Linked DNA regions of Caenorhabditis elegans. The protein of the gene in region 3 purifies or fractionates together with the protein of the main gene of each other region. This does not show direct contact. Each region holds a gene or a part of one and is shown on either strand. Other genes may lie near its edges.

Region 1 (5,748 bases), on a different chromosome or scaffold from region 3:
ACGTCCAACTCTTTTAGAGTATTTCTATTTGTTAATCCATAATTGTTTGAGCAAGAAACGTATTGGTGATATAGCTCGTCCTGAACAATCATTTTACATACACCAAAAAAACCATTTTAAAAGTACCTCTTTCCAACAGTCACTCGGACTCATTTCTGTGGAAAAGCTATGAACGATTTCAGTGATTTTAGAGGTAATTTCATGAATTTTTATTTGTGCACTACACACATTTTCATTGTTTTTTTGTACATAATGACATCCATCTCACTACATTATTAAGTGAAAGCAGCTCTTCATGAAGAGTTGGTTGTCTTGTTGAGTTGTTTTGATAGTTTTGGATAATCGCCAAACTTTTCTGAAATATTTTACTGTCACCAACTTATTTTCTGGGAAACTTACTGAAAATGAGCTGCCGCAATTTTGGAATTGAGTTTGCTCCTTTACGTCTTTACATTCGTAATTTAGTTGGTCTTTTATAGCAGCCATGTTCACAATGTCGGTTGCTATGTCAACCACTCTGGCATTAGCTTGAGCTAAAAAAACCGCAACAAGTATAATTAGCATGGTGAAGATTTTAATGAATTGTTGCAAGACAGGTTCTTATATAGTTATGTGTTTCAAGCAGTATTTATGAGACAGTTTGAGTCACAATACAAAACAGACAATGTAACAAATAAATCGTTTTGAATATGTCGGGTGATGTTTGATGATCTTTTTTATTAAATGGAAAATGTCATTTTGTATTTTATGACAACCATACAGTAATTGTTAGATGTGAATGTTTACATTAAAAAATGATCATTCGATACAATGAGTCAAACTTCGTCAGTCATTATCCAATAAGCTTTAGAACAGAATAATGATATGTTTTTACTAACATTTCTACTGATAATTTTTAAATAGAAAAATTTTTTAGTCCCTTTTGTTTGTTTGACGTTATTTGGACCGACCGGTTGCACATGCAACAGCGAATGCTTTAACTAGCCTACTATGTTTAACTTCTTCCAACCGCCCTATGTAGAATCTGCTTCTAACTACATAGTAGGCAAGTTAGTTCGTTTCAACATTCAGAAAATGATCAGTTTTGGAAAGTTTAAGATACTTTCTTCGAAATCTTTGTATATTTGAGAATATAAAACGTTCTGAAAGTTTGGGAAAGTTTTTGAAACACTCTAGAACTTTGTAGAACATTACTATGTGTAGATCAGAAATACTATCAAATATGTTCTTAAACCCATTCCCAACTATCCCAATAGTCTTACAATGTTTTCAGAAATTTCTCAAATGAATCTGAATATGAACCGCATAACGGCACTTTTTAAATTTAATGATTTATTTTTATTCCACTTTCAAATATTAACACTAATCTTGGAGAAGCGCTGGAGTGAACCCGACTCTTTGCATGATTGGATCGAAATATGTGCAACGTCCACGATACAATGGAAGACCGAGAATGATTCTGAAAAATTTTTGCATGATTCAATCCATCTTCTCAATCATTCCTTACCTATCAGTGGTTGGAATAATTTGGAGTCTACATGTTCCGAAGAAGCTAATAACAAGATCTCTTTCCGTAATTGAGACTGTTGTACCTGAAAATAGAGCAATTATGTAAAACAAGTGGAAGGTACACTGAAATCGACATACCAGAAACAAATCCAAAAGTGAGGGTGATCTTAGTGTTACATGGAACAATTGTTGGGTAGATAGCATTCATAACGTTTGTGCTGATGCCAAGGGAGTCAAACACCTGGCTAATGTAAGTTTTTGGAAGTCCAATTTGGGCGGTGGTGGTGTCAAGGTAAGTCTGAAATTTATATTTGTTGATACATAAGAGATGCAATAAACTCACTTGAATGTACTTGTTGTTGGAGTTGGTGGCGGATGATCCTACAACTTTGAAGGAAGACATCGTGAGTTGGTATGCATATGCAGAAGCCAATGGGACGTATGTTGGGTTTGGAGCACAGTGCACTGGATCAAATCCTCCGTAGTAAATAACTCCGTGGGTTCCGAGATCATCAGTTTGGTTGAAGTGCTCGAGCCAGATGGAGTAGAATGTGCCCGAAATGTCTCCAGCGTTAACACCTTGAACGAATGGTGAGTTTCCACCGATTTGCGATGAGGCTGTGAATCCCAATCCCAAAATTCCATCAGCACCCAATCCATCCATCAAAAGTCCGAGGTCGGTAGCTTGCATAAACTTCACGCCTGGAATGGTGATCAAATCAGTTTTGCGGTCTCCGATCTGGAAAAAAATTGTTAGGACTTAAAAAACAAATTGAAAGTATTACCACAACAGTGTCTTTTGCATCAAATCCTTGGAAAGTTCCAAGATTATTCTTGTACGTGTACTTATTTCCATATGCATAGTAAGACGACGACTTTGCTTGGTTGAATCTTCTCTTGTTGTAGCAATTATTTGCGGTCTCTGAAACATTTTCCAGTTTGTATCTTTTTCACTCTTATCAGTAGTGTGGAGTTTTCAAAATTAGGAATGTTATGTGCACTAAGTGATAGTCTTTGACCGATAATCAACATAAAAAACGATTTTAGTGCCGATATAATAGGGCAAATTGTCAGCAAAAGCTGACAAAAACTGTCATCATTTCGTGATTATGTTCGAGATGTTTTATACATTTAAAAGTCGTAAAACTATCAAATTGCAATCAAGAAAGCGATTGGTTGAAACTCACTGCAACTCATATCTGGAATAACAATGTCAGCGGTCGAAGTGTCAATGACAACAGTGAAAAGTTGTCCTGGTGTTCCCATGGTCAAGTTAGCAACGAAGAAGGTTGAGGTTTGCTCCAGAGTTTGTCCTCCTGGAATTAAACTTCAGTTTTGAAAATCTAAGGAACTTGTGTATTATATACCAAAAGTAATTTTCAGTACAAAACAATTCACTAGTGGAATGTAATAGATTTAGAAAACCATTATTCCTAACAAGGGAAGGCTCTGAACTCGTTATCGGACTTCGTTACGCCACTATATACATTCGATAGAGAATAGTTACAGATGATCACTCCAAAAATTTAGCTGCTTCAGAGCAGGTTTGATCAAGTTACGACATTTTGAAAGTGCCAAAATACCCCTTTTTAAAAATTCCAAAAAAATCAAAAAAAAAAAGTTTTTTTCTAAAAGTTGATATAAAATGTTTTCAAATAGTTGGAAATGATGGAAAAATCATACCACACAAGTTTCAGTTCATAATTCTCAAAACAACCAATATATAATTGGAAATCAACCGCAACATTGTGTTTGTAAGTTATAAGCTTTATTCTAAGTTAAATACATTCTACTCAATGTCGTAAAGGAAATAATGTTTGTTCATTCACTGTACATTTTATGTGGCTTCGGGATATATATATACGTGCTCTTAAAACAACTTACCGCTCTCCACTATTATTACTCCCAGTTACGTGTCTATCCCTATTTTGAATAAAATATAACGTTAATGTACCATTAAATGTTCATGTTCAATCAAACGTGATCGAAATTTTTATACGCTTCGGAAAATAATTCAAAAAAAAAATCAAAAATAATGCTTAAATGTTCATTTTAAATTTTGTAAAGGCTTCCATTTACAAACACCAAATTTCACTTTATCTGAAACAAATCTGTAAATTCTCATACTCACCTTTGGTAATGTTGGTAACTGCAGCATGAACTTTGAAAGGAATCACAAAAGCTGAGGTCGAGGCCACAAAGGCCAAAAGCAAGATTGTCTTGATCATGATTGAACTGAGAATGATTTCCAAGCAACCAGCTCTCCTATTTATTCGCTCATGCTTTGAACTGATAACATAGAAACCAAAAAATCGTGACAAACCCCTATCATTTTCGACACTGCACACTTCCACTTTCATCACTTTTCGTGGGCTTCAGAACTTTATTCGACGAGATACTACTAACAAACGAGAGAATGAAACAAAAAGCAAAACGATTTAATTACGATGATTTTAGATATCGGCTGGCAGGACTTTTCCGCGGCACTCTCCGAAACCAATTCTGACTCCATTCTTTTCACAAACTCCAGAAAGGTTGACCTCATCTCCGTCCTTTAAGAACTTTCGGATTTCTGAGCCAACTGGAACTTCTTTGGCTCCGCGCCACGAAAGCTCGAGCATGGATCCATATGCACCTTCTTCTGGTCCAGATACAGTTCCTGATCCCAAAAGATCTCCAGCGCGGAGGTTGCATCCATTGACGGTGTGGTGAGCAAGTTGTTGTTTTAGAGTCCAATACAAATGCTAGAAATTACAGTATTGTAGTTGAGAAAACCTTAACGAGCGTTTATGATCCAATTTACAGTGAACAGTGTAGATAATATCGTTTCTACTAAACTTGAACATACCTTGAAGTTAGTTTTACAGACAATATGGTCCACAGCATCTCCTTCTGGACGGATACTGACGGCCAAATTGATGTCAAGGGTAAATGGGTCATCGTGATGGAGATATGCTGGTGGAACTGGATCTTGTACTGGATTCTCAACAAAGTATGGACGAAGAGCTTCAATTGAGACGACCCATGGAGAAACAGTTGTGGCAAAGGATTTAGCAAGGAATGGGCCGAGTGGAACGTATTCCCAAGCTTGGATATCGCGAGCTGGAAAAGTTTTTTTTCGGATGAGTATGGAGCAAACTTGAAAATAACTACTGTTGAATTTTCTTGTCACCAAAATGTCGAGTTTAAATGTTTTTGTTTGATATTTAATTAACATCGTTACTCACCACTCCAGTCGTTCATGAGCACAACTCCAAAGATACGATCCTCAGCCTTCTCGATTGGAACACGAGTTCCCAATTCATTTTCTGGACCTCCCACAAAGAACGCCATCTCGAGCTCAAAGTCCATAAGCTTTGATGGACCAAACGATGGAACCTCAGCTGAAAGCGGACACATTTGCATTATTGGTGCAAATCTAAATCTTACCATCTGGGGCCTTAGTTTGTCCAACTGGTCTTTTCAAGTCTGTTCCAGATACAACGATTGATGAAGCTCTTCCGTGGTATCCGACCGGAAGCCACTTCCAGTTTGGCATCAGAGCATTTTCCTTTCCACGGAACATGATTCCGACGTTGGTGGCGTGATGGATGGAGGAGTAGAAATCGGTGTAATCTCCGATTTGAGCTGGAAGGTGCATTGTAGCATCGGATTGAGCGACAAGAGCCCGGCTTCTGTAAATAAAAACATAAGAATATTATTACAAAGTTTCTTGGTTGTTTTAAACAGAGTTATATGTAAGTTGTGCGCAAAACGTACAAAGCTTCTAATTACAGTATGAGATTTCAATTTATAAATCAAAAATTAATATAAAAATGTAGGTTTTTCTCGATTTTGAAATAGATTTTTTTAAAAATAATGCCTACAAGTCGCCAACAAAGTTTAACGATATATTTAAAGTCAAATGAAGTATTTCAAAAACTTTGACGGGTTTCCAGGCGTTCTCAATAAAATAATTTTTTTCAGATTGACCGAACATTTTCACATACTTCTATATACATTTCAACTTGCCAACTTGCTGCACAGTATTGATTCAACTTTGCAATTATAAACTAACGATAAAAATTAAAACTTGTGAAATAGTTGTTTAGATTTGGTTAGTAGATTATCAGACACACTTTGTACTACTTTTTAACTTTTTCAAATTTGTTTTGCCAACTTATTCACCTCAAATGAGCGTTATCCCTAAGAACAGCACAATCCTCTGAGAGCAGTTGTTGGATTCTTGCACGAGCTTCC
Region 2 (6,730 bases), on a different chromosome or scaffold from region 3:
ATCAATACTAAGAAACACACAACTCATCACAAACATCACTCAAATCATTCAACTATGCACCATGAATCACAAAAGCTCACATTCAAATCGCTCAACCTTCTTTCATTACCACACAAAAAAGATTGCACATGGACTAGTTTTCTTGATTTCTGGCCAATCAACAAATTAATTTATTCCGATTAAGCCAAGAAAAACTTGTTCAAACTCTTGTAACTGCAATAAGCCAATAATAACACTTTAATTGTATAAAGGAGGATGTCATATTATGAGAAACCCAAATAATACATTTCATCTGGTATATCTTAAATGTTCAATTTCTTTGCTTCATTCACAATTCCAAAAATGATTTATACTTGTTTGACAATTGTTCTGTCAGTCTACCACTTCCCATTTCCCCTATTAAATCCTGTAGCATTGCTACAACTGTTTCTTGCCAAAAACTTTTCAGCTATTATTTCATGTACTTTATTTTTATTCTTATTTTTACTCCTGCTGTGCCACTTTGTATGAAATGATTTCAACAAATAATTTTTTTCAGAATCATAAATTTCAGCATTTAAAGAAACAAACATGTCAGGCTACACGAAGGAAGAAAAAGTAAAAGTGCATTAGAAGATTTTATACTTGTTTTTTTAATCTTCAATGAAGCAACAGACATCTCAATTAAAAGCTTTTAAAAAATGTCAAAGGAAATTGCCAGAAAAACTAAAAATCTAAGTTTTTCAATACTAAATCCCCTTTTTCAAATATTTTCGAGCTAACTTACTTGCTACGATTTTCAACAAATAAGTATCTGTAAAAAAGTTTTGCATTGTCTTTTTTGATAGGAAGATATAAAAACAACAATGCAATTTCCATGTCAAAAATAATATGCATGGTCTTGATACAAACTGCAAAAAAAATTATTAAAAAAAAAGCATTACTACCCAAACTATTATATCCCGTTTTTAAGTAGAAATACTGAATAACCAATTTTTGGAAAAATGTATCATAGTTATGATACACAGATATTGTGTTGAGCTGATGAAAAAGTAATTGAATCCAGCAAATTTCAATTTCATAGCCAATCAACTGCTATGATCATATGATGACGTGACAACAGGAAAAACCGGGTTTTTTCTGAAATAACAGGTTTTCGGCAAATATGTCCTGGCAGACAGAAATATTTTTTTTAATTCAATTTTATTGGTCTTCAAAAAATATGCTCTTATATACTCTTTTTATTTACAATTTCAGTATTAAATTCTTATATAAAATCACAATGTTACGCATATCACAAATAATCTGTAGAAAGAAGTATGAAAGCATTGTTTAGAATAGCCCATCAATGATCTCAGTGACTGGGTCAATGGTGATGTCGTAGAAGCACGGACGAGTGTTGAGTCCTGGCATTGTGGTCATTTCACCAACCAATGGGTAAATGAATCCAGCTCCAACGGATGCACGCACGTCGCGAATCGGAAGTGTGAAACCTACAAAAACTCTATCTTGATTTGAAAATAGTTGTTTGAATAGTTTGGTAGGAAATTGTTTATGCATAGTCAATATCGAGTTTCATTAACCAATCATAATGTTGAACTTTTAGTACCTAAACTATAAACATTAAAACATCAACAGAGTGTTTATAATTGACCGGTATCTAATAATTTGATTTCTTACCAGTTGGAGCACCCTTCTTTGTTGGGTCTGATGAAAGGGACAAATGAGTTTTTGCCATACAAATTGGCAACTTCGAGAATCCCTGTCTTGTGTATCTTTCCAATTTCTGTTTGGCCTCGTCAGATAGTTCAATGCCATCAGCACCATAGATTTCTTTGGCGATAGTAGCGATCTTGTCTTCCAATGACAAATCCAGGTTGTAAAGGAATTTGAATTGCTTTGGATGTCCAGTTGTAGCATTGACCAGAGAATTGGCGAGAGCAACCGCACCAGCGCCTCCTTGTGACCAGTGTTCGGAAACCACTGCATCAAATGCTCCGTATTCCTTGGCCTTGGAGCAAACAAGTTCCAACTCCTTGTCGGTATCGGTTGCGAACTTGTTCACGCAGACAACAACAGGGATTCCAAATTTGTTTGCATTCTCAATCTGCTTTCTAAGATTTGAATCGCATCCTCCTTCAACAAGTGGAATGTTTTCGTCAAGGTATTCGTGTTTCAGTGGAGCTCCTGCTACAACAGATGGACCACCTCCATGCATCTTAAGAGCTCTTACAGTTGCTACAAGGACAACTGCTGATGGCTGAAGTCCCGAGTAACGGCACTTGATGTTGAAGAACTTCTCCATTCCGATATCGGCTCCGAATCCAGCTTCAGTGATCACAAATCCGTCGGGTCCGGCAAGTTTCAAAGCAACCTTGTCAGCAAGAATACTGCTTTGTCCATGTGCAATATTAGCGAAGGGTCCGGCATGGACAAAAACCGGAGTACCCTCCAAAGTTTGCATCAGGTTTGGGCGAACGGTGTCTCGCATAAGAACTGTCAAAGCCCCAGTTACTCCAATATCATCAGCGGTTACTGGATTGCCAGCCTTGTCGGATCCGATCACAATTCGTGCAATTCTTTCTTGCATATCAGCGAGAGAAGTTGTCAACGCAAGAATCGCCATGAGCTACAAATAAGAATTAATAAATTAAAATTGCCATGAAATTGTTTTGACTAACCTCACTAGCAACAGTAATATCAAACTGAGTAGTTCGGGTGTGTCCCTTCTCATTCGGTCCCATTCCAATTTCAATCTTTCTTAAGAATCTATCGTTCGTATCCATCACACGGTTCCAGGTGATAGTTGCAGGATCTATGTTGAGACGAGCAAAGCTAACTCTCTGCTCTTCGCTAAGATTTTCAGCATCATCTACACGTGGGATTCCAAGACGGTCGAGGCGACGAAGTTGGATCTCCGAAAGTGGGCGGACTCCTGAAAAGTAAGTATTAATGTATTTATTTCTATGCCATAAAAAGGGACTTCAAACAAACCCTTCTTGTTCTTTGGTGCCAATCTGTTGAATAGTGCATCAGTTGCTTGGGTTGACTCATGGAACATTCTAGCATCGATTGCAGCAGCAAGAAGATTATTGGCTGCAGTAATTGCATGGATATCTCCTGTCAAATGAAGATTGAACTCCTCCATCGGAATAACCTGAGAGTATCCTCCTCCAGCAGCTCCTCCTTTAATTCCAAACGTTGGTCCTTGCGATGGCTGGCGTACACATGCGAACACCTTTTTGTGAAGATGAGCTCCGAGAGCTTGAACTAGTCCGATTGTCGTTGTGGATTTTCCTTCTCCAAGAGGTGTTGGCGTAATACCAGCAACTACAACGTACTTTCCATTTTTAACCTCGCTCAGTCTATCCAAAATGTCAAGAGAAACCTTTGCCTTCTTGCGTCCATAAAGGTCAAGCTCTTCTTGTTTGATTCCAATTTCCCCAGCTACCTGAAAATAATGAAGATAAGTTTTTTTTAAATTAAATATTCTTGAGTGCCTTTTCGATGTCCTTTGGTGGTTGAGCTCTCGAAATAGCAATATCCGATGGAACAGGAGTTAACAGGGTGGGCTTCAAGTATTCAACATTCCATGTGCTCTGAAATAAAAAATAATTCAACGAAATTATAATGTTTGATTTGGAACATTTAATCGAATTACCATTCGGTCAAATTTGCGGCGCAAGCAGCGTGAAAAATTGAAAATTGAAGTTGATGAAAAGATAGAAATTGTGACTTAAATGTTTATGGGAACTTCGATCAAAAATTCTTATTTTTTTATATTTTGATTCTTATCAATCAATAAAATAGATTGACAATAGTGATAATGTTGCAATTCGCAACTTGACTTTAAAAAACGATAAAACGCACGGACAGGTTTATCAGAAGAAAGTAACATATTTTAGGTTTTCCAGAAATGTATGACAACATATCAAACTGGGACATATTAAGTTTTTATTAGTCAACATAAACAAAAAAGACGCTTTTTCAAGATTAATTTCTATGTACATATTAATTTAACAGATAATACTCTTTTTTTTATCTTCAGACTCTTTTTTTTTTTGAAAATGTATTTTTACAGTGTGGAGTTATTATACACAAGTTCTGTTTTTTTTGCTCACGCTCAAAACATGAACAAATTATTTTTGTTATTTTTGGAGTTTTCAAAATTGCATTTTCCGTTTAAAAATCAAATCCCAAAACGTTAGTGTTACTTACCATGTTTCACAATTCAAGAGAAACCAATGAATCAACGAAAATAAAAAGCGAGTGATTCAAACAACTGCAGAGCGATGGCCACTAAATACAAACACCTTGATAAGGCAGTGGGCAGAACAAGTAATCGAGTCAGTATCAGATATTAGGAGACGCACAGAAAACATGCACGGGGGGCATTTGCCGGGTCTGCCTTATTGATCGCGTCCTCTGATTTGTTCGATGTTGCGTCGCTCTCGTGCATCTAAACATCTAAACTAACCACGTGCATTTATCGCGAGACCATGGTCTTTTTACAAATCAGGGCTAATTGTGTCCTTGGTCATTGTTTATTTCGGTGGAAAGTGACAATAAAAAGAAAATACAAATTGAAAAGATTAGATTAAAAAAAGGTATGAAGAGGACTTCAAGTTCCAGAACGTCACAACAAATTTTAAAGAGTAAAAAGTCAAACCAAAAAGCACATTATAAATAGTTCATTCGCAAATGATGTGGTGGAAGTGGGTGCTTGAAGTTCACTCATCATCGTCATCCTGAAAAGTAGGTTCTGTGAAATACAACACTTACAAATATTTTTAACATATTTTCAATCGATTTTGTGTGAGGCACACTATAGTTGCAGAACAACTTTACATTCGGTGTAAATAATGAAGACAATGTCCATGAAATTTGCTTGTTTCGTAGAGTTTATCGCTCAATGAATTTTTGAAGTTCTTTGAGTCGATAACGTGCTATCGGTGTCTTTTGTAATTTTTGAAATAAACTCTGGTGCATCAGTATCAACCCCACACGCAAAACAAACTGTTTGGCACTATCCACGCTTAGGCCAGAACATCAAAAAACCTGCACAAACTTAGTGTCGCAAAAGGAAAGCTATTTTACCTTTTGTCCAAGACGTCGTCTCTTAGCCTGCTCAAATGTGTTACGGATGAGCATGGCAACAGTCATTGGTCCAACGCCTCCGGGGACAGGTGTGAGGAATCCGGCGACTTCCTTTGCGGCTTCTGTGTCAACATCTCCGTAAATTTTGCGTGAGTTTGGGTCGTCACCAACGTTGATTCCACAGTCGATGACGAATGCGCCAGGCTTGATCCAATCAGCTGAAATATATGCTTTTATTTGTAAAAAACGCTGACACTTATCAGAACAGAGAGTCTGTTTCTATTTGATGCAAAACAATTCAGAAGTTGCAAACAGTCAGGTGCATACTAAACATTGATAGTTCTTAAATTGGGGTTTCTATTATAGATATTTTGCATAATTTAATGACTTACAAACTTTTAGGTTAGCAAGTAAATACCGTGCTGCTCATATAAAGGTCTACTCGTAATAACTTTTGCCAAGATTCTTCTTTTAAATGGATTTGGGCGTAATTATGAAAAAAGCAACGCGAAATTTGTTCAATGATGAATTCCAAAAAATCAGGATATAAAAACTTTCACTATTTTACTATAGTCAGATCTCAGCTCGGAATAACCACGTTTGCTGAAGTTGAAATCAATCTTTTGATATCTGTATGGCCAGTACTGTGCACTATCTCAAATTTAGGTTTATTGATAATCTACCTTTGACGAAATGTTTTCTCCCAATTGCCACAATCAAAATATCTGCTCTCAGGCATTTCTCCTTGAGATTTGGAGTTTTTGAGTGGCAGATTGTCACAGTTCCATGATGCCACAAGAAAAGCGCAGCGGCTGGAGATCCGACAATTTTCGAGCGTCCCAAAACAACCACCTCCTTTCCAGACACAAAGTTGGCATCACCAGTTGCCTGTTGAACCAAGTACAAGCATCCAAACGGAGTGCAAGGAAAGATCGTACGCTGGAGTTCTCCACGAGCCAAACGTCCAGCATTGATACGAGTCAGTCCATCGACATCTTTCAATGGGTCAATCAAGTCGATAACAGAGTCTGCGTCGATTTCGTGCTTGCAGTCCAGTGGAAGCTGAAATTAATAACTTGCTATTATTGTTTAGCTTCCGATGTTTTTTTTTAATTAACTGAGATGTGTTTTTTTTCCGTTATAAGTTAACATTTCAATATTACAACTTAATCCGTTATATTAACCTGAATGATAATTCCGTCAATCTCGTTGTCATGATTAAGAGCCATAATCTCTCGCTTCAAATCTCCTTGAGTGATGGTGTCTGGCAACTTAATGAGTTTTCCATCTGCTCCGATTTCCTTTGCTTTTTTCAGTTTGGAATTAATGTACACATTGGAGTCTGAACGATTTCCAACCTGCAAATTTTGAGACTTTGAGTTATTCAGTATAACAGATATCCCCTCGGATATTATTTGTCTTGTTACGAAATAAAAGCCGGTATCTCAAAAGTACACCACAACTACAAATTACGCTCTGCAAAACTTTCAAAATCTGTTTTGTAAGTATGCAATGCACTTATGTACGTCATGAACTCAAAACACAGATTGGACAGAGATTTTCATTTTCATATATTCAATTTAGAAATATTATTAAGTTAATAGCAATGCTTGAAATAAAATTATTATCAGTGGTAAGCTTTCATACCTGAACA
Region 3 (4,386 bases):
AATCACATTAGTTTTTAATTCTTAAGTTCCTCGATTTCACCAGCAATGTCGTCTATTATAATAGCTATTATGTACACGGAGACTCCAAGGGTGGCAAATGATGCTGAAAATTATGGTAGCGTATATCCGGTCATTTTCTGGGTTCCGCGCCTCACTGTGAAATGTGGGGACTATGTGGGCGTGGCTAAAGGAAGGGAATCCGGATGCCAAAAATCCGGATACCCGGACGTCTGGCAGTCCGGATGGCCAGCTCTAAGGAAAACATTGCAACGAAGCGCTCCGATAGTTTTAGTTTTACATTTAGCTATTCTCCAGAAAATAATCAAAGAATAAGTTTATTACACAGAATTTAAAAAAAAAACAGAAGTTCTCAACACTTTGCGAACAAGAACAGTCCTCAGGTCTCATCATCTTGTCCAGTGTCTCTGGGCTTCGATAGAGTGTCGGGACGTTTGCGTCGTCCACACGTACCCACTGATCTTTTTGTATGTGATCCACTTTCCAAAATTGAGCCACGTCTACATGGAGACTCCACGGGTGGCAAATGATGCTGGGCACTCTTTTAATCATTGGACTTATGGTAGCGTACATATATCCCGACATTTTCTGGGTCCCGCGTATCACTCTGAAATTCCTGCGTTTCTATAGTAAGCGGCAGAGCCCAGAAACTGTCGGGATGTACGCTCCCATAAGTCCATTAATAAAAAAAAACTGCCAGCATCATTTGCCACCCGTGGGTCTCTATGTGGGCGTGGCTAAATGTTGGAAAGTCGTGTCCGGATGTCGCAGTCCGGATGGTCAGCTCTACGATAAATATGTACACCGGTTTTATCAGTTAATAAGTTATAACTTTTATATTAATATCTATTACTCACTTTGATAAGACATTTCAAAGCAACCAAGAGTGGATGGGGGCCATCCTTGAGTGCTTCATTGCTGAACATCTCCCGCAAACGACTGACATCCTTCGGCCCTGGTTTCCCGTTGAATATTTGTTGCAGTTCCTTGTGCATCAACATCTTCTGTTTTCCTTTCTGCCAATCTCCTTTGAAATGATCGTGGAAATTGGCTCTTTTCAGCATCTGGAGGATGATATTGAGGAAGCACGATGTTCCGTCATTGATCAGTTGCGGGCAAGTTGGCATGGGGATCGGATCGGGATAAACAGTCTTCGTGCAATCATCGGCGACTTCTGGGACTCTCGTCTTCTTCGACATTGTATCACTTTTTTGTCAAACTCTAAGTTTGCAAAAATAAAATGAATGAAGAACGATAATGTTCACTTCAAATTTTTTGAAAATTGGGAATAAATAAATTTTATTTCCATCGAGAAAAAAATTAGAACATCAATGCCACGTTTGGAAAATAAAACTTTATTGTTTTTACATAAAATCACATTAATTTTTAATTTTTAACTTCCTCGATTTCTCCAGCAATCGCGACGGCTTCAATCTCGACAAGTCCGCCTTTTGGAAGCGCGGCAACCTGAAAATTTTTGATTTAACTTTGCAATACGAATTTTTTCACTTACTTGATAAGCAGCACGAGCTGGATATGGAGACTTGAAATATTGTCCGTAGACCTCATTGACGGCAGCAAAATCAGCAATATTTTGAAGAAGAACTGTGGTTTTGACGACTGAAATTTTAAAATATTAAAGTTTTGCCATGTGGCACGGAAATATCAAAATGTGTTTTTTTAAGTTAAAAAATTAAGTTTTTTATGTTCTAAATCTTTTATTTTAAATCTCACCGTTTCCATAATCAGCTCCAGCTGCCTTAAGAACTTCTCCGAGATTTTTGAGACTTTGATGAGTTTGCTCAACGACGCCCTCCTTCAAATCTCCAGTTTTTGGATCCAAGCCAAGAGATCCGGAAAGGTAGATGGTATTTCCGGCACGAACGGCTTGACTGAAATTTTTTAATATTATATGAATACTTTTGTTGATTGCTTATTTTCAGAGGAATGTTGTGGTAGAAAATAATATAATTTCTTGAATACCTGTATGGTCCGATAGCTCCTGGAGCATTTGCGGAGCTGATGATTTGACGGGTCACTTTTTGAGCCATGTCGAGCACTTTGGTTCTCCTGAACAGTTGTATTAGTCAGTTTTCTTTAGAAATAAGATTGAAAATAAATGAAAAAGTTGACAAAATGCCTCCACCACCACATTTTCTACCAACTAACTTGACCGCATCTTGCTCTGAAGTCTCCTCTGCGCCTGTTTCAGACCGTTTAAGCGCATTTGCAACTGGTGGAAGCATCGGCATTGTTAGAACGGCAAGAAGAACCGAAAAAGAGAAGACGTACATTTTTGAAGGGGTTAAAAGTTGCAAAGAGGAGAAATGAAATGAAACGAAATGAAGAGAAGCGCGACGATATGAGACACCGAGGTCACCCTTATCACCGGCGTGTCGCGTTTATGTAATTGGGGGTTCTGCAACGAAACAGTTTCCTAGACTCCTCCCTTTCGATTTTTGAAAGTACGTTGATTGTAAACTTTAAATATCATTACACTGAAAATAACGAGTAACAATTAACCAACAATTTATTGGGTATGTAACAACAGTTTATTGAACTGGAGCAACTGGTTGAGCTGCTGGGACTTGAACATCCTTCTTCTCCTCCTTGTGCTGGCTGTGTGGTTCCTTTGGAAGGACTTCCTCTTGTGGCTCGACGATTTGGACGTGGTCTGGGAGGGCGTTTCTTGGTCCGTTCTGTCCGCGTGGGTCGTATGGAAGCATGATCTTGACCTTGATACCGATGACTCCTGAAAATAAAAAAATGAAGATGGAAACTTACAAAATAGTAATACAAATTTTTAAACTTGATTTTTAAAATTAAAAAACTGAAAAGCAACATCTAAACTTTTCGAACGACATGTTTTTTGCGATCAAAAATCCTTTCTTAACCAAATCTTCCCCGTAAAAAATCACTGACCCTGACGGAGTTGAACGTGTCTGACGGCTTGTTGGATGTAGTCGTTGACTGGGTGTCCAGAGTGAATCATGAGTCCATCAACGAACTTCATGGCCTTAGCACGCTGTCCACGAAGCTTTCCAGAGACGATAACCTATAATTTTTAATGAATACAAATTCCATATAATACAAGTTTCGAATATTAGATGCAATAAAGTTAAATTTTTTGTCTATTAAAATAAAGTAATCATACCTCAACTCCTTGAGCTCCAGACTCCATGATGAAACGGAGAACTCCGTAGCAAGCACGACGGACGGCAAGACCTCCGACGAGCTTGTATCTGAGGGATTCGCACTGAGCGACAGCGCAGAGTCCTCTGTTGGAAACCTTCTCGGCGTAGAGCTAAAAAGTTAAATGTATTTTATTTTTCAATAAATGTATTTTTACCTCGACGGATCCCTCCTCGAATCCGAATCTCTTTTGGACAACCGAGGTGAGCTCCTTAATTCTGCGTCCTCGCTCTCCCAAAACGTTTTGGGTGCGGGTCGCCATGATGATGACCTCAGCTCTGGCTGGGGTACTGCGAACCTGCAAAACTTGAAGCTTAAATGCTATATTTTTGATTAATAATTTTACCTCGACTCCGGAGTATCCATCCTCAGCAAGCTCCTTCATCAGGAAGTTGTTAAGCTCAGCCTTGAAGATTCCGCCGATGACGGCCTTCTTCTTCTTGGTCACGTTTTGATTGGCAGCCATGTTGCCCACTGTTTGACGAAAGCTGAAAATTTGAATATTAATATTAGCGAAGATATTGATAGAAAAGAGTTATAATCCGAACAAAACACAAGAAATATATTTGAAAAAAAAGTATTTTGGGCAAGGTTTTTGTTAAGAAAACCCTAAATTACGTAACTAAAAACTACATTAATATAAAAACATGTTTTAATACAAAATATACATTGAAACATGTGAATTTTTTCAATTTTTATACAAAACATGTTAAAAATCCAGTTTCACGCGAAAAATTCAAAAATTTCAGGCAAAAATCGAAAAGAAATTTAGTTGCTTTCAACGTTTATCGTTGAAGCGTTGAATACTCAGTCAACGGCCAGGCCAATTGGCTGCGTACGTCACCGCAAGACCATGAGACCGAAAAATGGCATGCGCCTTTAATTGCCTCTTTTTTACCCTAGTCACCGAACGAATTTTTTGAATAATTTCTTCGAAGTTGAACAGTTTTCTTTATTTTTACCAGTTTTTTAATTCTGAACATCTCATTTTCTTTTGAAGTTTGCACTAGTTGTTTGAACTGCTTTGCCTGGTGATTAATCAACTATTTATTGATTTCTTTCTCAATTCCGTTTTTAAGGATCAAACATGGATGAAGAGAAAATTGTGTTAATTGGAAATGAATCAGATCTCCTACACTGTGGATACAATTTTGCACTTAGAGCTGGCGGAAAAAG
Region 4 (5,714 bases), on a different chromosome or scaffold from region 3:
TAAAGGTTTTCAAAATTCGAAAAGCGTATGATTTTTAATGCTTAATTGTACCATGAAGAAGCACCAATAAATGGGCGGAGTTTGGCAATATATGGGCGGTGCTTTGCGAAGATTTAAATTTTCGAAAACGTCATATATAGAAAATTCGAATGATTTTTAGCTGCATTACTGCAAATTGAACTTAAAAATAGTGACTTTTTTTTCAAAAATTTCACAAAAATCCCGTCCATTTATTAATGTTTTGGTAAAAAATCGAGTTTTCGCCAAACTGCGACGTAAACGCAAAAAACCAATAAAAGGGCGGAGCGTTTTTTTGAAAAATCACTGTGATTTTAATTTCATTGTAATTTCTGATGTTTTCCAACATATTTTCCTGTAAATATATATTACTGGAACAAAATACTATGAGAATGCGTATTGCACAACATATTTGACGCGTAAAATATCTCGTAGCGAAAACTACTGTAACTCTTTAAATGACTACTGTAACGCTGGTGTCGATTTACGGGCTCGATTTTTTGAAATAAATAGAATATTAAAACTAAGCATCCATTTTGAAAATCGAGCCCCGTAAATCGGCATAAGCACTACAGTAGTCATTTTAAGAATTACTGTAGTTTTCGCTACAAGATATTTTGCGCGTCAAATATGTTGTGCAGTACGTATTCTCTGAATTTTGTGCTCCCGTAATAACCCTTCCCAATCGAATCTATCCACAAACACTCTTCTGCCATTCACACACACACACTACTCAGAACATTACAAAATACGTGCAAACTCGGACTGCGCCTTCTCTCTCCGTCTCTTCATTGTCTACACTGTATCGTCTCGTTTCTCTCGACTGCTGCTGCTGGCCAGCCAAAAAAAAGAAAAATAAAATCGAAGAAACCCCGCTATCTCACTTGTTGTGTAGTCTTGATTTCGATTGAAATTTGTTTCGAAAAAACAATGTCGAATTCGATTTTCCATTGTTATCTCTCGTCCTTATCAAACGTTGGCTATTGATCACGATTTTCGAAAGTCATTTGCGTCATTTTTAATTTTTGCCTAGACTCTAGAGTATCGACTTTTCACGATTTTCTTGTCAGTATTCTTGTCGAAAAGTGACTCGAATTTAATGAAAATTTGTCGTGTCGAGACCGGGTGTGTCTCAAAAATCGTAAAATTTCGCCTCTGGCTAATTTAGTATTCATTGGCAAATGTAAGAAAGGTATATAGTTCAGCAAAAATTCCTTTTGTGTTCGACTCGAAATTATCTGAAATTACCGAATTTCATAATGAAAATTCTTGAAAACTTCTCAAAAAAAGTTATGGCGGTACAAAAAATGACCTGAAATTAGTTAAAATTTGAAATTTGACCGTCTTGTCAAGCGGCTGGATGCTAACTTTTTGAAATCATCGTCTAATTATGGGTATATAAGTTAATTATCTTGCGTTTTCAACTCGATTTAGGTATATTTGAGGTCGATTTGTCACCAGATTTGGTTAAATTTGGTAACATCTGGGGGATACATCGAGCTTAAATGTACCAAAATCGAGTTGAAACTGCAACAAGAAATTAACTTGTATACCCAAAATTAGACGGTTATTTCAAAAAAGTTAGCCGCTTGAAAAGTCGGTTAAATTTCAAATTTTAACTAATTTCAGGTAATTTTTTGAGCCGCCATAACTTTTTGGAGGAGTTTTCAAGAAGTTTCATTATGAAATTCGGTGTTTTTAGACTATTTCGAGACTACTTAAACAATAAAAAACGTTCGACTAGACCATCTTTAGATAGTTAAGTTTTTGCTGAACTATATACTTTTCTTACATTTGCCAATCAATACTAAATTAGCTAGAGGCGAAATATTACGATTTTTGAGCCATACCAGGTCTCGAGACGACATTTTTAAAAATTAAATTTGAGCCACTTTTTGAAAAGAATACAGGGCAAGAAAATCGGGAAAATCGATACTCTCGGTTTCACAAAGAATAGCAATTCTTCTATCGTTTTCTCCTCCTTATTCTGAATTTCTATCCAAATTTCCCTCCAACAAAAAAATTCCATAATTCTTGTAGAATCAAGATGACTCGCAAGTTCTTCGTCGGAGGAAACTGGAAGATGAACGGAGACTATGCCTCCGTCGATGGTATCGTCACCTTCCTCAACGCCTCAGCCGACAATTCCTCCGTTGATGTCGTCGTTGCTCCACCAGCTCCATATCTGGCCTACGCTAAATCCAAGCTTAAAGCCGGTGTGCTTGTCGCCGCACAAAACTGCTACAAAGTGCCAAAGGGAGCATTCACCGGGGAAATTTCGCCGGCAATGATCAAGGATCTTGGATTGGAATGGGTGATCCTCGGACACTCGGAACGTCGTCATGTCTTTGGAGAAAGCGATGCTGTTAGTTTAATACATTTTGATTTGATCTTCGAAAAATTCGGGAAAAGATCTTCTCGAGACGCAGACTTTTCCACTGATTTCGCAAGAGTGTGCTGACGTCACATTTTTCTGGCAGAAAAATTCCCGCATTTTTTGTAGATCAAACCGCAATGAGACAGCCTGACACCAAGTGTCAATAAAAAATTCGAGTTTCAGGGAAATTAATCTGAAATTTCTTTTTCAGCTGATCGCTGAGAAGACCGTGCATGCTCTCGAGGCTGGAATTAAGGTCGTTTTCTGCATTGGGGAGAAGCTCGAGGAGCGTGAAGCCGGACACACCAAGGATGTAAGGGAGCAAAATACTGGAAATTATCGATTTTTCGCAAGAAAATTTGAAAATTCAACATTTTCAAACTTTCAGATTTTTTTTCTTAATTTTTTCGGGTAGAAAATCGATTTCTTCTAATATTTCAGTAGAAAAATCAAGTTTTTGAGATTTTTTGAAAATTCCAAAATGGTTTTGTTTCGAATTTGCACGTTTTTCGGGAATTTTTCAAAGTTTCTTCTTAAAAAATCCCTGAATTTTATAGTTTTGAGCTCAATTTTTCCTCAAAAAAAACGCAATATTTCTCTTTCTGCAACGAATATTAGAAATAATCGCTTCGAGACCCGATTTTTATGAATTTTCGTGAATTTTGAACAGAAAACATTTAATTTTATCATTTTCCAAAAAAGCGGAAAATTCCAACAAAAAATGGTCGCCAAAAATAATTCTTTTTTTTTTTGCCAAATTTTCAACAAAAAAATTGGTTCCGGCAATAAAAAAGAAAAAACTCCTGAAATAGTCGTTTCGAGACCCGATTTCTTATGAATTTTCTTGAATTTTGCAGAAAAGTTCAAAAAAAAATCTCCGAAGAAACATTTTTATTTAAAAATCTTCGAAAAATCGATTAAATTCCCTATTCCACGTGGTAAAACAAAAAAAGTTCAAAAATAATCGCTTCGAGACCCGATTTTTTAATGAATTTTCGTGAAATTTATATAAAAATACAAATTTAAATTCCCAAAAACGCGAAAAATTCAAAAAAAAAAAAGAATCCCGAAGAATATAAAATTTTCGAAAAATCGATAAAATTTGAAACAAAAAATTCCTGAAAAATAATACCCAATTCCTTATAAATAAAGATTTTTTTTAATGTTGTAGAAAAATAAATTTCAAAAATCGATCGCTTCGAGACCCAAATTTTCCAATTTCCAGGTAAACTTCCGTCAACTTCAAGCCATCGTCGACAAGGGTGTCAGCTGGGAGAACATTGTGATCGCCTACGAACCAGTTTGGGCCATCGGAACCGGAAAGACTGCTTCTGGAGAACAAGCCCAGGAGGTTCATGAATGGATCCGTGCATTCCTCAAAGAGAAGGTCTCACCAGCTGTCGCCGATGCCACGAGAATCATTTATGGAGGATCTGTGACTGCTGACAATGCGGCTGAGCTTGGAAAGAAGCCGGATATCGATGGATTCTTGGTCGGTGGAGCATCGTTGAAACCCGATTTTGTCAAGATTATCAACGCCAGATCTTAAATTATTATTTATTTCCCCCTATTTCACAGATTTTTCCGGATTTCCACTGATTTTTCACCGATTCCCCTAAATTTTGGTCGTAAAATTGGTTGATTTTCATTGATTCCCCTAATTTTTAGCCGTAAAATTAGCTGATTTTTCCCGGAATTTCAGCTTCAAAATTGTAGAATTTCCCTTAGTTTTCCCCAATTTTCCCCCAGATTTCCTCTAAATTATATTGTAAAATTAGCTGATTTTCATCAATTTTCCCGGAATTTTGACCGAAAAAAATCCAAAATTTGGGTGAATTCGTGAATTTTTTGGCTTGAAATTTGGCTTTTTCCTCTCTACAGTGTAGATATTAGTAGCAGCTTTTTTTTCCAGTATTTTTGATATTCAAAACCTATATATATTTATATAAATAAATTTCTTGCCGACAAATAACAAAAAATCGATATTTTCAAACAATAGTTACTTGTTCTGTGTGAATATTTCAGCCGGCGATTTTCAGATTTTTGCGGAAAATTTTCAGTTTTCAGATGAGTAATCAATATATCAACGAGCCGATTACGACGGGAAAGGTAAAATTATTGATTTTTATCGATTTTTGGTGGAAAAAATTGAATTTTCCAGAAAAAATGACCGAAAATTTCAATTTTTATCGATTTTTGAATAAAAATCGAAAATCCAGTGAAATTTTCGATTTTTCCGATGAAAAATTCGCGTATTTTTGCAATTTTTAAGCTGTAAAACGAAAATTTTGAGTTTTTTTTATCTAAAAATTGGCTAATTTCGAAAAATTTTGGATAATTTATTGAAAAATACGACCAATTTTGCACTTTTTGCGCCAAAACTACGTTTCCTGGTCTCGACACGACAATTTTTGTTTATTGCAAAGAGGTGTGCGCCTTTAAAGAGTACTGTAGTCTTGAACATTTTTTTAATCAAAAAATCTATAAAAATTCGAGACTACAGTAATCTTTAAAGGCGCACATCTTTTTAACAAAAATGTGTCGCTTCGAGACCCTAGGTACCGTAGTTTTGGCGCGAAAATCGCAGAATTCGTCATATTTTTCTCTTTTTTTTAAATTAAATATCCGAATTTTTTGAAATTTGTCAATTTTTAGAGGAAAAATCGAAAAAATATGACGAATTTTGCGCTTTTCGCGCCAAAAATACGGTATCTATGGTCTCGACACGACGACTTTTTGTTAACTGCAAAAAGGTGTGCGCCTTTAAAAAGAGTACTGTAGTCTTGAACATTTTTTTAATCAAAAAATCGATAAAAATTCGAAAATTTTTTATCCAAAAACTACAGTTTACTATGAAAAATTGATGAAAATTCGAATGTACAGTAATCTTTAAAAGCGCACATTTTTAAACAAAAATATGTCGCTTCGAGACCCTATGTACCGTTGTTTTGGCGCGAAAATTGCAGATTTCGTCATATTTTACTCCTTTTTAAAAATTAAATATCCGAATTTTTAAAAAGTTGTCAATTTTTAGATGAAAAATCGCAAAAATATGACAAATTTTGCGATTTTCGAGCCCAAACTACGGTACCTAGGGTCTCGACACGACAAAAAATTTTTGATTGCGAAAAGGTGTGCGCCTTTAAAGAGCTGTAGTTGCAAACTTTAAAATAAAATTACAGTAATCTTTAAAGGCGCACACGTATCTCAATTAGCAATAATAAAAATTCGTGTCGATACCCTAGGTACTGTAGTTTTGGCGCGAAAATCCCAAAATTTTGAAGAAATCGAAACAAATTGAATTTTCAAAAATTAAATA

The links.
Region 1: the proteins of C23G10.2 (region 3) and asp-14 fractionate together in Caenorhabditis elegans (co-fractionation; one large-scale study listed by BioGRID). This does not show direct contact.
Region 2: the proteins of C23G10.2 (region 3) and K07E3.4 fractionate together in Caenorhabditis elegans (co-fractionation; one large-scale study listed by BioGRID). This does not show direct contact.
Region 4: the proteins of C23G10.2 (region 3) and tpi-1 fractionate together in Caenorhabditis elegans (co-fractionation; one large-scale study listed by BioGRID). This does not show direct contact.

What each region holds. Positions count from the first base shown.
Region 1 is NC_003284.9:6,442,870-6,448,617, forward strand, and holds asp-14 (Peptidase A1 domain-containing protein), read right to left. Parts: upstream 3,796-5,748; 5' UTR 3,738-3,795; coding exon 3,641-3,737; intron 2,826-3,640; coding exon 2,697-2,825; intron 2,432-2,696; coding exon 2,295-2,431; intron 2,249-2,294; coding exon 1,853-2,248; intron 1,808-1,852; coding exon 1,648-1,807; intron 1,593-1,647; coding exon 1,508-1,592; intron 1,460-1,507; coding exon 1,363-1,459; 3' UTR 1,316-1,362; downstream 1-1,315. Other genes in the region: K10C2.7 (uncharacterized protein), read right to left, coding at 233-355, 400-564; fah-1 (Fumarylacetoacetase), read right to left, coding at 3,963-4,253, 4,358-4,611, 4,737-4,892, 4,939-5,183, 5,677-5,748.
Region 2 is NC_003284.9:8,079,704-8,086,433, forward strand, and holds K07E3.4 (formate--tetrahydrofolate ligase), read right to left. Parts: upstream 4,316-6,730; 5' UTR 4,201-4,315; coding exon 4,198-4,200; intron 3,700-4,197; exon of another isoform or gene 3,644-3,699; coding exon of another isoform or gene 3,641-3,643; intron 3,579-3,640; coding exon 3,480-3,578; intron 3,431-3,479; coding exon 2,974-3,430; intron 2,915-2,973; coding exon 2,661-2,914; intron 2,609-2,660; coding exon 1,660-2,608; intron 1,473-1,659; coding exon 1,312-1,472; 3' UTR 1,166-1,311; downstream 1-1,165. Other genes in the region: C46F2.1 (uncharacterized protein), read left to right, coding at 1-183; dao-3 (C-1-tetrahydrofolate synthase, cytoplasmic), read right to left, coding at 4,710-4,727, 5,077-5,294, 5,760-6,138, 6,261-6,434, 6,724-6,730.
Region 3 is NC_003281.10:6,206,115-6,210,500, reverse strand, and holds C23G10.2 (RutC family protein C23G10.2), read right to left. Parts: upstream 2,438-4,386; 5' UTR 2,313-2,437; coding exon of another isoform or gene 2,311-2,312; 5' UTR 2,271-2,310; coding exon 2,188-2,270; intron 2,089-2,187; coding exon 2,002-2,088; intron 1,911-2,001; coding exon 1,753-1,910; intron 1,639-1,752; coding exon 1,532-1,638; intron 1,486-1,531; coding exon 1,405-1,485; 3' UTR 1,361-1,404; downstream 1-1,360. Other genes in the region: Serine/threonine-protein phosphatase C23G10.1, read right to left, coding at 876-1,217; rps-3 (Small ribosomal subunit protein uS3), read right to left, coding at 2,571-2,770, 2,941-3,073, 3,173-3,322, 3,368-3,508, 3,557-3,676; sna-3 (NADAR domain-containing protein), read left to right, coding at 4,298-4,386.
Region 4 is NC_003280.10:12,035,484-12,041,197, reverse strand, and holds tpi-1 (Triosephosphate isomerase), read left to right. Parts: upstream 1-2,058; 5' UTR 2,059-2,065; coding exon 2,066-2,383; intron 2,384-2,606; coding exon 2,607-2,708; intron 2,709-3,620; coding exon 3,621-3,944; 3' UTR 3,945-4,363; downstream 4,364-5,714. Other genes in the region: cyn-16 (Spliceosome-associated protein CWC27 homolog), read left to right, coding at 4,463-4,504. UniProt on the Caenorhabditis elegans protein: Triosephosphate isomerase is an extremely efficient metabolic enzyme that catalyzes the interconversion between dihydroxyacetone phosphate (DHAP) and D-glyceraldehyde-3-phosphate (G3P) in glycolysis and gluconeogenesis.